Linked DNA regions of Drosophila melanogaster. Changing the gene in region 1 together with any one later gene gives a genetic interaction. Each region holds a gene or a part of one and is shown on either strand. Other genes may lie near its edges. The genes, in order: ltl and cv-2.

The links.
Region 2: of ltl (region 1) and cv-2, changing one suppresses a phenotype caused by changing the other (phenotypic suppression), as found in Drosophila melanogaster (one study listed by BioGRID).

Annotation. Positions count from the first base shown.
Region 1 is NT_037436.4:7,517,066-7,522,113, forward strand, and holds the start of ltl (larval translucida), read left to right. Parts: upstream 1-1,931; 5' UTR 1,932-2,619; coding exon 2,620-2,912; intron 2,913-5,048.
Region 2 is NT_033778.4:21,376,219-21,381,506, forward strand, and holds the start of cv-2 (crossveinless 2), read right to left. Parts: upstream 3,247-5,288; 5' UTR 2,287-3,246; intron 1-2,286.

The DNA.
Region 1 (5,048 bases):
CAGAAGCATTACCGGAGGCATATCCACACCATCCCATCGTACCAGCAACCCGCACCATCCCATTTCATCGTCATCGAAGTCCGAAGCCTACGCTACTCTTGTTATTGTTGTCGCCTGCAATCGAAACACGAAAATGTGTCACATAAAAATGTTGAGAATATTTATGTGCAAAAAAAATAAAATAAAAACAAAAAGAAATACCAAGAAGCCGTAAAGAAAAGAAAACATATGAATAAATAATAATTATAAATATTTGCCGCTTTTCTTTAAATATTTACTCGAGATGATTGGGCGCCAAAAATAGATTGGCTACGTAATCGAGGTATATTTTCGTACCTACAGTTATTGATTACAGTGCGGTTCAGCACTGTAACACCACAATTGGCATCTGCTAAGCTCGGCAGTTGCTGTGCTAAAGAGTTTAACATTTTAGTTTATTCCAAGCTGCCAGTTTAGATCATAATTTAAATAACTATCTGCAATTCTTAGAAAATTATTCTGCGTGCGTTCTAATAAATTTATGTTAGATATATTCATAAGAATCATGACAATTTGAAAACTATAAACAGTTTATTTAAAAAAACCTTCCAGAGATATGGACATTATTTGATAGGAAAAACTGTGGAATTCGGAAAATATGTTCATAAAAGAAGAGTTTATCCCATTTATTAACAGATCTAAAACAGGAAGTAGTTCAATTACGAGAGGAATATTATTAATTGAAACATTATTGGATTGATCGAATAAAAGCCGGTCATAAGATTTAATTTTTTAAATCCCTCTAAATGAGTGAGCCCGGCTGTATGTAATTAAGTTAATCTCTCCGACGGCCCTAAACATAACATAATCGTGCCAAGGTTCCTCGGGAGCTTGCAGTCTGCATGGAAAATGGAGATGGATGTGTTGGCTGGGCATCAGAAGTCACTCAGCCAGTGGCCGCCCCCCGATGATCCCGATGATTAATTGCAGCCAGAACTGCAGACGACGACCACGACGACGACGAGGAGGAGGAGACATCGTTGGCACGCGCAATCCGTGGAATTTGCGGAATTTGTGGCGAGCGCATTTAAGGCGCCCAGTGTTTAATTATGCATGCGGTCCCAGAACTTGGAGATAAATTAAGGCAGCGGACTTTGATGCATGGCTCCTGCTCCCGGCTCCCTGCTCTCTGTCGCCTGCTGCCTGCTGCCTGATCCCATCCCCGCCAGAGTTTTGGAATCGCTCTGGCGCCAGTGGAAAATTTTCACTTGGCCCAATCTCAATTGGGCTGCGCAGATCCTTAAACAAGCCGGTTCCATTCAAACACTGCCAACGATCCTATCAGATACGATACGTTCCGATATGATACGATCCAAAAAGTCATAATTAAAAACATAGCTTGAGAGCGAGCGAGGCGAGTGCCAGATGTGTGTCTATGTAAAAGGACAATTTGATGGGAGTGCGTAGAGCAAGAGCAGCACATATGTAAGTACCAACATGTGTCCACGATAATATAATGATGCCCCATACATAGAACTGGGTTCCGAAGAAGATCCCAGCGGCAACATGGGCAAGCAAGTAGCATGTAGCAAGTAGCAACAAACATCAGCACTCGATGGGGGCACAAACACATCGCACATCGCGATCGGGATTGAGTTGCAGATATAGATGGAGATTGATGCCTGGCGCCGACAGAACATGTAATTGAGTGTCGTGGACAATTATAGCCGCATCTCAAGTCCCCAATTGGCCAAAAAGCCGCTCGAGCATCTCGCCGGAGCGCCAAGAGATCGGAGAGAGAGTAAAACCAGCAGCAGCAGCAGCAATACATATCGCACCGCAGCAGCAACAGCGCTGCCGGCAGCAGCAACAGCAGTAGGCAGCAGCAGCAGCAGCAGCAGCAGCAGCTAGCAGCAGCACATACGAATCCTCAACGTTAGCATTTCCACTCCCAGTCGCAAAGAGACCGCCCTGCAATCTAGACGTGATCAGCAGCCCATCAATAAAAAAAAATACAATAGAGATATACTCGCGGTGTTCGACAAACAAACAGGCAAATACAAAATTTTTTAGAAGATTAATTCCGAGCATCGGCGATCTATATACAAGCGGGTCAGAAGGTCTAGCAGATAGGAGGAGGCGGAGGAGTAGCAGCTCCAGCTCTAGCTCCAGTTCTCCATATCCCAGCCGTTAAGATTCGATACGATCGATACGATCGATCGATCGACCGAACTTAACCTTAAGTGCGGTGCGCGTGTGTTATTTGAAAGATCTTTCAAAAGTAGTGACAGTGCGGCTTTGAAATCCGATGCCAGCGGTTCAGAGAATCAACGAAATCCTGCTGGAAAACCGAGCTGCCATGGAAACCCCCGCACGCACGCATATGTGCGCCTAGTGGGTAATTTCCCGAGTCTTTCGTGTTTTCCGAGCTGCCTGCTCGAACAGTTGATAATCCGCCGTCCGAGCGAATGCAACGTGTCCTGGTCTCGAGCCGGAAAACCGTGATTTGTGAACTGTGAACCGAACTGTGAACTGAGATATCGTAGATAGCGAAAAAGTGTACATATACAAATATATTATTGCTCTGGCCAAAGAATTGTGAAATCGCATTCACCGAGTGACTGAGATCACTCTACGAAAATGACTTCCCTCGTGTACACCGTCTTTCACCTGGCCTCGCTGCAATGTTCCGTGCGTCCGGAGATCTCGCCCTGCACCTGCGAAACGGGCAAAGCCTGGAATCATGTGGAGCTCTCCTGCGAGAAGTTGGAATCCTTCAACGCCGTCGTGGACAGCCTGGCCAATAAGCTCAATGCCGACACCAATATCGACCTAAAGATCACGCACTCGCAACTCGACGACCTGGAAATGCGCTCGTTTACGGATATGAACTTCAACTTGTACAAGCTACGGATGCAGTGGAACAGTCTAAAGTGAGTTGAGTCATCGATTCGGTTTGCAATTTTGGAGAGCAGGAGCCAAATAGCTCTATAAGGGGTTTCCCAGCTGTGGTGTAGATTCTATACAAATTCCTTTGCTGAATCACTAGATTTTTAGAAACTGACTAAAAAGTCGCTACTTTACATTTGCCAAGTATAGATAGATTCCATATATTGCTCACAAGAGGAACACTCCTTTTCATATAGCATACATTTATGTAAGTACAGTACAGATATATCGTTGGTAGCGTGTGCCAATTTGTGTAGATCGAGGTATAATGATGTATTGGGGAAATTTTCCTGCTATAGATTCAATCAAAATTTCTTTACTGTGGCGGGGAGTTCAAGGCCAACAGCCAAGTTCCGCAGAAAGGCAGAATTTTCCGCTCGGCCGGCTATCAATTTAGGTTCCTTAAACCCAATAAAAACCGAGAGAAAAATAATAATGCAAAATGTACACAAATTTCAATACGCTTATGTAAATGCACGAAAAAATGTGCTCCACAGATCGGTTCGGGTGGCCAGATCTTGTTTACAGCCATATACATACTACATAGATACTAAAACAATAACAATGTCGTTTGTTTACGTCAAAGAGCCCAGTGCCGCCTCATTATCTATGGCTCAATTGGGCAAATTGCGAAGGAGATGGATGGATGTGGTTGGAGATGGTGCAGTCGCATCTTAATTGCCGCCCAGATGATTTAATTTTTCAATTAGGAAGTAGCATTGAATTGCCGCTAATTCCCAACTATGGGATGTGCTGCCGTAGCTTGAGTCTCGTCGTCTTCTTCTTCTACTACATCTTCTTCTTGTTCAATTGATAACTGATAACGCTTATCACCTACGAAGTATTTATATAGGATTCCGCCTATGTACTTAGCCGTATGGCTGACTGGAGGTATACGACGTATACTTAATGCGTACACAAAATTGATAATTGCAGTTTGTTGAAGGCGTCTTTTCAACGGCGCCTGCACGTTTTCCGACTCTGACTCTCAATGAATTTCAATTCACTGTCGCATTGTGTTTTATATGTACACATATTGACAATTATAATTAATGCATATAAATAAATGCTGTCGATCCACTGATCTGCACTTGCGAATATAGAAATAACATTCGAGCCTATTTCATAAGCGCCTGTCGCGGGTTCATTGATATTTGACTCCGTTGTTTTACAGCCACGATTTTACATTCGCGATTCAAAACAAAATATGACTCAGGGGATTCTTTGTGCCCAAAGCCCCAAAAAAAATGTTTTCGAAAACTGAATTCAATCACAAGGACAAGCGTTTGTTTAATTTATCAATAGCTTCATTCAACTGTATCTTTGTGTTAGCCGAATTGAAATATCTCTTTGTTACAATCCATAGTACTAGACTCATTCATGTTTATATTCCAAAAAAAAAAAAAAAAACGCTTATCTTTATTGTTTTTGGGAATCTATTAAAAATTTAATAGCGACTGTGTGGGATGAAACTGGGTTTAGGCGTACATTCGGGAACACGTTTTAGTAATATAGCACAAATCATCGAAAGTATTTGGAGTAACAAAGTGCGAAAGCTCCACCAATCAACCGATGGCGACCTTTTAGTTCTGGGAAAATCCATTCCTTGAATCAGTTTTCTGAAATCATGGCAATTGCCCGGCGACTACCCCCACGATTAAACTATTCGATTTATCATTCTCCGAATGCAATTTGCGTGTTTGCATGGAAGTCGGCATGATTTAATTAGCCGACTTGATCGAATCAGTGTTATGCACCATCTCCCCAATCGGCGATCTCCCCCAGAATCCAGCTACCAAGCATCCAACATCCAGCATCGAGAATCCAGCGGAGAGCGCGTGCCTCTGGTGGCAATGCCTTCGATTCTGGCTGCTCGGGGAACGCTTTTTACATTGATGTCAATTTATAACAATTGACCTATTGCCTTAATATCGTGCTTTGACCAAATCATGCCAGCCAGCCAGGAAAAGTATCGCCAGCACACATGTGTGTATTCGTATGCACTGCGAGAAATTGGGCGGGCTTATCTTTCTGACAAGAAACATTTTTAATATTGGGTATACAAGTTATGCATTTTAAATACTTCAAGGGTAAAAATAATTATTATTATAATTATAAAG
Region 2 (5,288 bases), on another chromosome or scaffold:
CTGCTCACCTCTCCAGGTGAGCGTGCGGATTGCAGATCGCTCGCCTCGAGAGTCCCGTGTGTGGAGCAGAACCGAATCCCCCCAAGATTGTGGACCGCAGATCGGGGATCGCAGACCGCCTGGCTCTGCTGTGCTTGGACAGGTGCGTGAACGTGGCCAGCGGGAGCGAGAAAGAGTCGCAACCCGAATCGTACCCTAACGTATCCGAACAGGGAGTACCCTGGAAAGCACGCTCTTCTAAGTCCTTTAGAATCTGAATACATGTATTACTTAAAGGATCTAAGATAACGCAGATCAAATTAAATTGGAAAATAAATCATTTTAAGTTTCGCTTTTCTGTGGGCAAGTTACTAGAGTTAGTAAGTTAGTTATCATGCCTTTCTCAACCCCAAAAGATTCACTCCATCCAAAGGACTTTCTAACTTCAAAACTTGTAAAAACTACTTTCTGCCCATCTTCATTCAAGAGTTCCCCAACTCGTGCTAAGCAAACAACATCATCCACTTCAATTACCCTTGATCCAAGGGTATAAACACATAGTTTTTTTTTTAAACCAAATTCACATGCAGTTCGTAGTTGTAGTTGCAGTTGTTATTGTTGATGTTGATGTTGGTCGGTGGACAGAAGGGGCAAACGAGTTGGCCCCGCCGCCTGTGTATGCCAGTTGTCAGTTGGCAAAACTGGTATGGTTGCATTTTTATTATAAAGCGAACAGAAACAACAACAAAAAGCGACACCTAGGCAGTACGGGAAAGTCCGTCCGTTTGTCTCTGCCACTGCAAGTCAGGGATCGGAGGATAGGGGATTGGTTTGGATAGCTCAAGGATGGGAGGCTTGGGGACGCCGAATGGGAATGGGAATAGGAATGGGGACTGTCATCCATGGGCTGGTGTGTCGCCAGTTTAGCCCAGTACGCGAACTGCTAGTCAGACGTCTGTTCTATGGACGTTTCATGGACATACCGGCGCACATTCGTATTAACCCATGTAGCTTTGGCTTACTACCTGCCCCGCCCCCAAACGTATCCCAATCCCAATTGCAGTCCCCCCTGCAAAGAGCAGTTATTACCAGTGTTATTTACACAGAGATAAATGAAGAATGTGACGAAAGAAAATACGTTAAAACTAGCAAGATATTAGCAATCAAAGATACAGTATGTTGTATTCAAAATACGAAACAATGGTAATACATTTGATAAAACAGATATAAATTTGAACAGAAGTACTTGGATGCATTGAAAATGCTTAAATAATATTTCTTTCCGTGCATACTTTATTGGCTCTTATGTTTGCGTTTCGGTTTGTGTCTCCATTGCCCCAGCAGTCGTAATTTGTTTTGGTGTCCTTCTGCCAGACTGTCCTCCTAATGAGCCAGTTTATTGTATTTCCTATTTGTGGCCCCGTCCACCAAGCGATGACACTTTTTATGGCTCGATGAGGGTAATACAGGAAATGGCCTGCGATTAGCTTAGTGACAATTCTCGCTGCAATTGAAGTTTCAGCTGCAGTTGCAGTTGCAGCAGCAGCTGCTGCAGTGATTTATCATCTTTGCAGCCTGACAGTTGGCCAGCTTATATATCTATATATCACCTGGTGATATTTGACACATCGTTACTAATTGGTTAAACAATATGTATCACCGCTGACTCATGCCCGGCAATAGATAAGGTGTTTTGTGCTCATGCACCCGATCTGCGGCACTTTGTTTAATCGCTCACTTAGTTGGTAGCTGTTAAGCGGCTTAAAGTCGTTCTACACACTCGAAATGCTCACTTAGAACGCCTCAATGGTTTTCGAATTGGATTTATTAAGCCCAAACCAAATGGCTGTCGGGCAATTAAAGCCAACTATGATTTCCGCCTTTACAAAATGCTATGCAAATGTTCTCAATTAAATGCTGGCCCGGACACTCAAACATATGTTTGCTTATTCGCAATTTGATCGGCTTTTGATTTCGAATTTACAACTTTTAATGCTTGGCAGTAATCAATTCGAAGGAAATCAAGAGAGAGAGGCGAGAGCGAGTGCCAAATGTGATAATAGAAACCAAACAATTAAACAATTTTCGCAAAATGTTGAAACAACAAAGGCAGATAGCACACACGTTCGCAGATACACACAGATAAGTGAAATGTTTATATGTTTCGCATTATAATAAAACAAAATCGCACTTGGCATTATAGCAACAAAGAATCGGGGAATCTCCGGATCAGGGAATCGGGGAATCGCGGAATCAGGGAGAGGCAAAGATTAATTACAAAGGAAAAAGTAAAGACGCAAAGTTTACCCGTAATTACACTTCCAGATTTCCAGATGAGGTGCTTCTACTGCTGCTGCTGCTGCTGCTGGTGGCAAGAAATCGGCGGAATCGAAAATTAATTATGCTTGACATGTTGCCAGCGATCATCAGTTCGCCTCTTGTTCTTGCTGTTATTGTTGTCGTCTAGTTGTTGCTGTTGTTGCTGCCACTCGAACCGATATAAATCGCATTTTCAATTGCCTGGGCTTGGGTCTATTTTTTATTTGTATTATTTTTTACGTATGTATGTATTTCTACGCGAAAAAGAGAGGCCACACCGCGTTTGGAAAGAGACGAAGCACTTAGAACTCACTGGCGCATAATTTATTTGAGCCGGCGCGCGCCTTTCATTTCAATTCCCATTTCCATTTCGATTTACATTTGCATTTCAATTTCAATTTGATTGCGAGTACTTCGATTCGCTTGCCACAGATTACGCATACGCCACGTTGTGTGCGCGCTTGTCCGTCGACGCTGTCAAAGGTTCAATTTCGCGCCGTGCCGCAATTGCAATAAGCATTCAATTCAATGCAATTCAATGAAATTGCGCGCCAATTCGCCGGACCCACTGGAAAACGCTGCTAGCCAGTGTTAGTGGAAAACGACGCATTAGCGCACGCAGAAAATCAGAAAAACAGAAAATCGCACAAGTCTGAATATCAGAAATTCAAGCTAAGCCCCGCATTAAGATTCAGTCGCGTTGATAACAAACTTCAAATTCGTTTATGTTGTTTTCTATTTGAATTGCGTTCGGACTACGTATTTTATAGTAATTACGCTCCACCAGCGATCGTTGTCTCGTGTGAATCGGCGAACGTGAAAATCGCGCGCGAGTTTTCCCCTTTTACGGCTGATAGATTTTCCTGGCCAGCAATTTACAATTTCGAGCCACTCTCGAGCGCTTCTGGAAAACCGCACCGCTCGCGTGCGCAGCTAAAGTTGAACTGAGCACTGCAAGCGGAAAAAACGCTGAGAACACTGAGAAAACGCTCGTCTGCGTTCGGGCTGGCCTTCGTGTCGGTGTCGCCGAGCCGAGCCGAGCCGAAGGCGAAGCAGCGCAGCAGCAGAGGATTGGGGCCTCGTTTTTGGGGGCTCGCACTTTGCTGCGATTTTTTAGCGATAAGGGGACTTTTCTGGTGTTGTTGTACAAACGCTAGTTGCCTTCTAAAGTTTTGAACTAATTGTTATGCTTATAGTGATTCCTTAAAAACAAAATACTAGTAAAATATGTTTATAATATTTCATTGTCTACGATAATTTTGAGATAATCTAGATTTTATAGAGATAGTATAGCCCTAAAAAGTTAACAGTCAATGTCTACTAAATTAAACATGTCGTAACATGTTTGAGATGTTAAGATATTCATATCCAACTGTACCCAAATTTCAGGGCTGCCGACTTCAAAGGCGCACTCTTCACGAATTGCAATTGAAATCGAATTTCAATCTACATTCACACATTCCTAAGCGAAATGAACACCTCGACGATGGCAAAGTGTTAACAGGGCGAACATGAGAAGCGACCCCCCCCCCCCCCTGCGCATTGGGTGGGAAATCAACACACCTTAGTAGTCGCATGGTAGGCAAATCAATTCAATGCGATTCGTTTCGATTCAATTCCGGGAACTTTTGCCAATTAGAATTTGTCAACTGGCATTCCGCGCTGTCTGCCTCGACTTCTTTGTTTTGATAGTTCACGGAGGTATTTTCCCGTCTGATAAAGGCATTATTCGGCCGTAGTATCAATTCGATTGCTTTCCACTCGAACCATGAATGAATTGAAGTTCAAAAGCCTGCTGATTAGATCAGTGTGTGTCAGGTGGAATTGAATGACTTTGCAGTCAGGTGAAATTATCACCAGAATGGCATGTACATATGATAGTGTAAACTTGAAAATAAGGTGCTATAAATGACAAGGAATTTCACAATCCATACCAATAGCAATGAATCATTGCAAGTAATAAAAATTTTTTAAGCTAACTAAACTAACCAAAGGCGTGGGCTAAGTTCTAGCTAAGTTACCTGGGAGCTCTTTAGTTTTAGTTGCACTATAAATCGTAAGCAGCAGTTCTTTCCCACAATGAATGAATGAATCCATTCATTATGATCCCCAAAGCCGACGTGACTGCAATCCGAATTGTGTCTTATGGTATTTGTCTCGAATGCGATAATAGCACTTAAAGCTCTTAAATGCATTTGGCAGATGATGAGACAGAGACGGTGGTACAAATGGTGGCGAGTTTTCGAGACCCTGGGATAATTCACACTTAACCCGCAGCCAAATCAAACTGCCAGCCATTTGACATTTATGCGATGGCCTTTTTTTGCATGTTTTTCTTTTTTGTTTTTTTGGAAAAGCTGCCGCGGCACGCTAGGAAAATGCCACGGAGTTGCAGCTGAGCTGGAGATGATTTATGCACTCATTGTATCTGTAGTTGTGGCTGGAAAATTGCAGTTATCACGAACGAAGCTCGGTTTGGATTATGCTTCGGTTTCAGCTTTGCTTATGCTCTTGGTTTCAGCTTTGGATTTGGAGATAGAGATGGAGTTTCCCAGGCCATGGATTTTGTCACTGGAGGTTGCCTAGTCATTATTTATGAGGCGAACGGTGCAATATGCAGCCAGGTGGGAACCGTGACGCAGTCTGTAAAATTAAATAATTGCGTTTCATTAAATGCCGTTTGCTATTTGCATAGGTTCCCCCCGCATTGCAAACAAAGTGCAAAGCAATTTGGCATAAACGTCATCGGGTCGAATTGCTTAGTGTTTGGGTGGATGGGGAGGTAGACGGTGGGCGGTGGGCAGTGGGCGGTGGTTGGAAATCTGAGAATCCCGCCCCACAATTTTCCACGCCACTTGAGCGTAATTAAGCGTTGAGCTTCTAAGCCCTAAGCAAATAGGCAAGCCGTCGAGCGTCTCCAGCCCCAAAACCACCCCCCACATTTGGTGCGATTATCCACAGCCTATATGCTATATATATACGATTGCGAA